Linked DNA regions of Mus musculus. The protein of the gene in region 1 purifies or fractionates together with the protein of each later gene. This does not show direct contact. Links are inferred from orthologs where the notes say so. Each region holds a gene or a part of one and is shown on either strand. Other genes may lie near its edges.

Region 1 (3,652 bases):
ATGATGGATGCCAGGCACTTTGCTACACCTGGGAAGACATCATTGCCACAGTAGTCATGCTGCCTCTCTGTGTGGGTAGCTTCATGGTCATCTTTACACAACCTATAATTATTTGGGAAAAGAATCTCAATGAGTGATTGTTTACATTGAATTGGCTTGTCAACGTGTCTATAGGAGATTGTCTTAACTAAACTGACTAGTGTGGGAGAATCCAGCCCACTGCACGCAGCACCATTCCCTAGGTAGGAGATCATGAGCTGTGTGAGAGGAGAAAAATGGGGGTGGAGAGAGATGGCTCATCGGTTAAGAGCATTGATTGCTCTACCAGAGGTCCTGAGTTCAATTCCCAGCAACCACATGGTGGCTCACAACCATCTGTAATGGGATCTGATGCCCTCTTCTGGTGTGTCTGAAGAGAGCAACAGTGTGCTCACATACATAAAGATAATAAAAAACTTTTTTAAAAAAGTAGAAAAATGGAGCTAAGCACAGCACGTGACAATAGAACAAGCACACACGCACTCATTTCTCTCCTCTTGAGTGTGGACGAGATGTGACGAGGTGCTCCAAGTTCCTGCTACCTTGATTTTCCCACAATAAGAGACTATAATCTGGAATTGTGAATTTTCCTCTAGGATGCTTTTTGTTTTGGTATTTTATCATAGCAACAGAAATGAAACTGGGGAAGGTAGTAAGGAAATTAAGGTTTAGAGAATGTTTATCGAGAACCAAAGCCCTACTTTTGTTCTCTATACTACCATTCCATCAGAACAAAATCTTCCTCTATTAATAAACAAAACAGAAAATACCAACCTGCTCTGATGCAGACAAGGGTAGGGGCAAGGACCCTAATTCCTTCAGCAACTCATTTGTTTCCTTGGCCAGCTGATTTGTGGAGTGCTGTAACTGTTGCCTAAGAGAGAAAAGACAGGGTCAGGATGCTGTGGCTTCTTGAGAGCTCTCTTATTGTTACTTTGTGCTCAGGGACTCCTAGTACAAGGAATGAAGAGCCATTAGAACAAGAGCTTCCTTCAGTGCTATGCTCACAAGCCCAGGGCAAGGCCTTCTCCATTACTGAAGCAGTTCCACTGAGCAGAAAGATGCTCACTCAATGATACCTGCTGAAGCAAGCACAGACCAGGAGTTTCAACTATTTAGGAAAAAATGAATGTCTGTATTCTATAGAAACAGAGGAGTAATTACTACCTACACCCAAACCTAATGACTTCAACACACTGAACTCACTCTAAAGTTCTTACTGACCTCCCAGGAGCTCTGTATGGTCAGCACTTATTAGTCCACTGACTAGGGCCGTTAGATGAAACACGTATTAAAAGCATAGCTTCCTACATACCTAGGAAAAAGTTCCAAAGACCCATTCCCAAGCTCTTCCCAACCAAAAGTTGGTTCCTTGTGTGGATTTTTCCTTTGCCCCTACCCGCCTTCATCATTGTGCCTGGCATCTGGACCCTATGCTGTTTTGAGCACTTACCTCTTCTGCAAGATAATGGACTCAGTCTGTAGCACCATAAACACTAACAACCAAAAACCACAAAGAAGCTAGGTGATGGGCGCTGTGACCTCCATCACAGTCCTAGCTTCTCTGAGGCTGATATAGGAGGAACATTTGAGGCCAGTCTCTAAAACAAAATGGGATGAACGGATGGAAGGAAAAAGAAATTCAAGGGAGCTCCTCCTCTTATTCTTACCCCCTTACCCCTCTTCTCTCCATCTTCCCTTTCCGTCTCTCTCCATGTGGCCATGGCCAGCCTACTTCCCTACTCTCTCCCTCTCTCTGCCTTCCTACAGTAAATGTCTAAAAACAAAAAACAAAAACAAACAAACAAACAAATTCAAGAGGAAGAACATGGATATAAATACGATGCAATGGAAATAAAAATAAATAAACACAGGTTCTTCCCATCATGGCGACCTCTCCTCTCCGGCCATTTCTACAAAGGTTTTATGGGGTGACAGAGAAGCCACATGCTGTGGTCTGAATTCCCACTGAACTCCTAAGCCCCCAAGTGATGTTATTAGGAGGTAGGATTAGAAAATGATTAGTGGACTGGAGAGATGACTCAGAAGTTAAAAGCACTGACTGCTCTTCCAAATATTCTGAGTTCAAGTCCCAGCAACCACATGGTGGCTTAAAACCATCTGTAATGGACTCTGATGCCCTCTTCTGGTGTGTTTGAAGACAGGTACAGTGTACTCATATAGAAATAAATCTTTAAAAAAGAAAGAAAATGATTAGCCTGTGATGGGCCTTTCAAGGAACCATTCCACCAAGTAAGGACCGAGTAGGAAGGCACCATCTGCCTAGTGTGATGGCAAACGCCTTTCATCCCTATCCTTGGGTGGGTAGATGGCTTGGAGTTCCAGGCTAGATGGTCTACATAGTAAGTTTCAGGGCAGCCAGGGCTTTATAGTGAAACCATTTCAAAAGGAAAACAAACCCCAAACATTCTCCATGGAAAAGAGGGCCCTCATCTGACACGCTATCTGCCAGAGCCTTGACCTTCATTCAGCATCTCACCCTCGGGGACTATGAAAAATAAAACTATGGTTGTCTATAAACTATCTGGCCTATGATCGACTGCTGCAGCAGCCTTAGTGCCCAGGACTCCACAGTGATTTTTCACTGCAAGCAGGCTTCTAAGATTAGAAAAGTAGAGAGATAACAAGAGGGAGCCAATCAGGAGCCAGAGCATTCTAGAAGCACTAAGATATGGAGACATGTCACCTCTCCTTAGTATAGCTCCCTGCGCTAACACTTACTCACTCATCTCTCAACATCTCGAGGAAGCAAACAGTGCTGCTCAACCAACTTTACAGTAAAGGACAGAGCTGGGCTACGGGGCTGCACGCCTTTAGTCCCAGCATGGGCAAGAGGATCTCTGTGAGTTTGAGCCCAGCCGGAGATAAAAAACAGAACTTTAAAGAGAAAATTACATTTATTTGTTTAGTGTGTGTGTGTGTGTGTGTGTGTGTGTGTGTGTGTGTGTGTGTAGGTGTACCATGATGGATTTGGACACAGGTGTGCCAGGATGCACATGAGATACGCTGACATTACAGAACAACTTCCCAGAATTTTGAATTCTCCTTATACCATGTGGGTTCCAAACACTTTTCTTTACTTGCTGAGCCATTTTTCCAGCACCAAAGAATAAAATTTTTACTTTATTATTTTATGTGTATGGGTGATTTGCCTGCAACATATGTCTGTGCACTATATATGTGAAGTGCCCACAGAGGCCAGAAAAGAGAGCTAGACCCCACAGAAATAGAGCTATCAACAGTCATGAACCACCAAGTTGGTGCTAGGAATTGAACCTCAGCCTTCTGGAAAAGCAACCAGTGCTTTTTTTTTTTTTTTTTTTTTTTTTTTTAAAGATTTATTAAGTACACTGTAGCTGTCTTCAGACACACCAGAAGAGGGTGTCAGAGCTCATTATGGATGGTTGTGAGCCACCATGTGGTTGCTGGGAATTGAACTCAGGACCTTCGGAAGAGCAGTCAGTGCTCTTACCTGCTGAACCATCTCACCAGCCCGCAACCAGTACTCTTAACCACTGAACTATCTCTCCACCCCTAAGAATAGAACATTCTGTTTTGTTTTGTTGGGTTCTCTGTGTACTTCTGGCTGTCC
Region 2 (3,652 bases), about 18 Mb from region 1:
GCATCTCTGGTTAGCTATCCTCTACGAGTGACCGGTGGCTTACCTCAAGCATAAGACAGAGATGAGTACAAGCAGTACACAGTCTTCTGGAACTCTGTGCAGACTGATGCCTTGGTGAGGCTGCACGGCTACTGCTCACATCGCACTAGAGACCACAGCCTAGCTCAGTCTACAAACTGCTGGCTAAGTATCTTGTCTACAGGTGTGATCTGAGCCCACCTCCATAGCTCTAAAGAAGAAACCAAATCAGAATGACTAGCCTTCTCTATAGCATTTCACAGGATGGACTGCCGACATGTTGAAGGCTCGCTCTCACAGTATTAACATTTTTCTTAAAGGACACCTTGAGTTACATTTGGCACTTATTTGAATGTATCTATTGGGGCAATTTATTTGTACTTAACTTTTGGCAAAATAGAAACTTTGGTCATAGTTCTATAAAAACTTCTTAAAGGGTTATTTCTGGTTAAAATACTATTTTAGGAGTGATATACAACAAGAACAAGAAAGTAAACATAGTCATATCTAACATAAGAGCATGAGCTCTTCACCAGCATCTTAAATACAGCGGGAGTCAGTAGTGCTTACAAACGGAGAATAATCTTAAAGAACAGTTTCCTAGCTATCAAAATAAGGCACACCCTGCTATTGTCACCCATTGCTGTTAGGCAGTAGTGTTCTTCTTGGAAGGTCCAAGTTAGGAATCTAATTACCCAAAAGTTTAAAATGTGGTTTTGAAGATGATGTCAGATGTGGGGACAGCTGCCTTGAACAAAACCCCCTTCCTGGAATCCACAACAAGTCATCTTGAGTGACAACATCCACCTCCATTCAGCACTCAGAACTACACAAGTCCTCTTTCCCAGTCCAGAAATCTGTAAAGGCACTGTGCAAAATGTGGGGAGGGTAGGTCACACCTCCAGTTTGGAGTGTATATGAAAAACAAAGGCACATTTTCTAGGCACTAAACTGTATGTAAACTAACAAAAATAATCATTTGGAAAAAAAACAATAGGTAAGCTCGATAACACGGCAGGTTCTAAGTAGAAAGTCTTGAAGAAGATCCTGAATATCGGGCTTCAGTTTCATCGGTTCTTCATTAAGAGACACACCACACTAAGAGGCAGGGAAGATTTAGAAACAATGAAAAGGGCATGTTAGTCTTTGTGTGTGCAAATACTCAGTAGGGATGGACTTCTACTGTCTAAAGAGGGACAGAGAGAAACTGACTTGGCCAGTTTTCCACTGGCAGCTTCTTTACATGCTACAGGGCTCTGGGGAAGACTAAACTCAAAAGTGGAAAAGGAAATACTAACAAGAACTAGCAAAGGAAGGCATGCTTTGCTAGGATGTTCGCATAGACTGGAATGAAAATAAAGTGAGTTCTTCTAATATGCAGTCACAAGAGTGGTGGGAGTAGCTATGTGCTAGCTATATACATTATTTACATAATTACTATTTCTGTTCTCCTATGCCAGGTACTTTCTTATGTAATAACCAGGTTTGTCCTAACAACACAAGGTGGACACCATTACCATCTTCATTTTATTCATGAGGACACTTGAGGTCCAGACAGACCCAACTGCTTGCCCAAAGTCACAGAGCCTTACTACAGGTGGCATAGCTGGGATGGATCAACTCAGCTAATCACTACATTCCACAAAAGGACACAGACTAAAACTGCACAGGAGAGAAAAATTGACCAGACATTAGGAGTGAGATTTGCTATTCTTAAAGGATAAGTGCACCCATCTATCCATCATCCATCTAACAAAACACCAGACTTTAATTACAAAAACTCAAATATTTAGGATCATTTTGGTGGCACAGGCCTATAATCCTAGCGCTTGAAATGTTAAGGCGGAAAGATCACAAGTTCAAGGCCAGCCTGGGTTGAACATCGAGACCCTGCCTCGAGACCCTGCCTCAAACTTCCCGCAATACCATCATCTCAAAACACCCTCAAGTATTTAAAATACTTGATAAAGAACGATATTTAAACCTTGGACTGAATCCACTCTTTGCTGCTGCACAGACGAACGTCTATGACCATGGGTAACTCACCGATGATGATGATGACAATGATCACCAGGACACTGATCCCTATCGCCCACATCTGCAACAAGACAGATCCATTTAACATTGCAAAACAGACAGTGCTCGCCGCAACCGCTACAGTGTGAAATAATTTATATAATTTCTAAAGCCTAAATTTTATATTTTCAGTTAAGTCCTGAAATTTAGTTATGGGCTTTCAGAAGTAGATTCCAATCCTCTGTGACCTCTGAAAACACACACATTTCCACACAGGCTCCTGATCTTGTCCCATTATCTCAGAGTGTCCTTTCTAAACAAAGCATAACAGGAAGTGTGTGAGCTCTAATCACAGACATTCCCATTTGCTAAGTCTGCTTTGGACAATATTCATATGTTGCTTTCTCCTCTTTTTGAACAAGGTGGGATTTCTTAGCATTTAACTTTTTTTTTTTTTTAAAGATTTATTTATTTATTATATGTAATACACTGTAGCTGTCTTCAGACACTCCAGAAGAGGGAGTCAGATCTCGTTACGGATGGTTGTGAGCCACCATGTGGTTGCTGGGATTTGAACTCCTGACCTTCGGAAGAGCAGTCGGGTGCTCTTACCCACTGAGCCATCTCACGAGCCCAGCATTTAACTTTTGAAATTGGAGCCATTCCCAGAATGGGCAGTTAACTGAGCATCAAAGCCAATAGCCCCGTCAGTGTGTTCTCAGTTACCTAGGTCTAGTGCCCACGACTGCTTGGGCCGTCTGATTCTGCATGTCTTCTAACTTTAGCCACAAAACATGGCATTAGATTCCCAGCTGTGGGCCAGGAAAAGGGATATAGACTCATAGTTGGCCAAGATTCTACCCACTACCCAGAGTCACCCAATGCAACAGAGTGCCTGTGCAACACTTGGGGTATGGAGGCCCGCTGTGAAGGTCTGTCAAGAGAGCATTACCTTGCAGTTCTTCCACCAATACTTTCTCTTCAACTTGGCAGCACTTGTTTCAAACTGCGAGGCACCTGCCTGCAGTGCATCTGCGCGGTCATCTAGCTCCGAGAGCTTCTGGTCTCTTTCTAACACCTTATCCACATTGACTCTCATGATGTCAACCACCTAAATGGACATGGTCACAGTTACACGGAAAGGAGAGGAAGAACAAAACTCCACATGACACCTATGGGCACTTTGTATTTTTTTCCAGATCAGTACTTTATTATGTTGAGCTAAACTTCCACTTAAGAAGGAAGCCCAGGCCTTTGGGATACATCCACACAGCAAACCAGGAATAGAAGAGACTTCAATTACAGAGAAGCCCACATTAGTATCACATACTATGGTGAGAGACTCAACTTCCTTCTAAGATCTGAAGCAGAACAACAGGATGTTTCACTTTCATGGCTGTTCAACACTACACTGGCAGTCTTGGTCAGGGCAATTATCCAGGGGAAGAAAGGCATCCGGTTGGAACAGAGGAGTACAACTATCTGTGCCACATGTAAGAAACTCTTAAGACTCCTTCATAGGAGGCTGCAGAGATGACTCATCAGGTAAGCTGAGTGCAATCTCTGGGACCCACATCATGAAAAGAGAAAACTGACTCCTGCAAGTTGGCCTCTGATG

Evidence for each region.
Region 2: the proteins of Stx12 (region 1) and Vamp3 purify together in Homo sapiens (affinity purification with mass spectrometry; 3 studies listed by BioGRID and IntAct, counting the BioPlex papers as one, with this or other methods). This does not show direct contact. The link is inferred for Mus musculus from reciprocal best matches to the Homo sapiens genes STX12 and VAMP3.

The regions. Positions count from the first base shown.
Region 1 is NC_000070.6:132,867,355-132,871,006, forward strand, and holds part of Stx12 (syntaxin-12), read right to left. Parts: intron 914-3,652; coding exon 814-913; intron 1-813. UniProt on the Homo sapiens protein: SNARE promoting fusion of transport vesicles with target membranes. Together with SNARE STX6, promotes movement of vesicles from endosomes to the cell membrane, and may therefore function in the endocytic recycling pathway.
Region 2 is NC_000070.6:151,047,931-151,051,582, forward strand, and holds part of Vamp3 (vesicle-associated membrane protein 3), read right to left. Parts: exon of another isoform or gene 3,146-3,652; coding exon 2,987-3,145; intron 2,117-2,986; coding exon 2,065-2,116; intron 1,117-2,064; coding exon 1,100-1,116; 3' UTR 1-1,099. UniProt on the Homo sapiens protein: SNARE involved in vesicular transport from the late endosomes to the trans-Golgi network.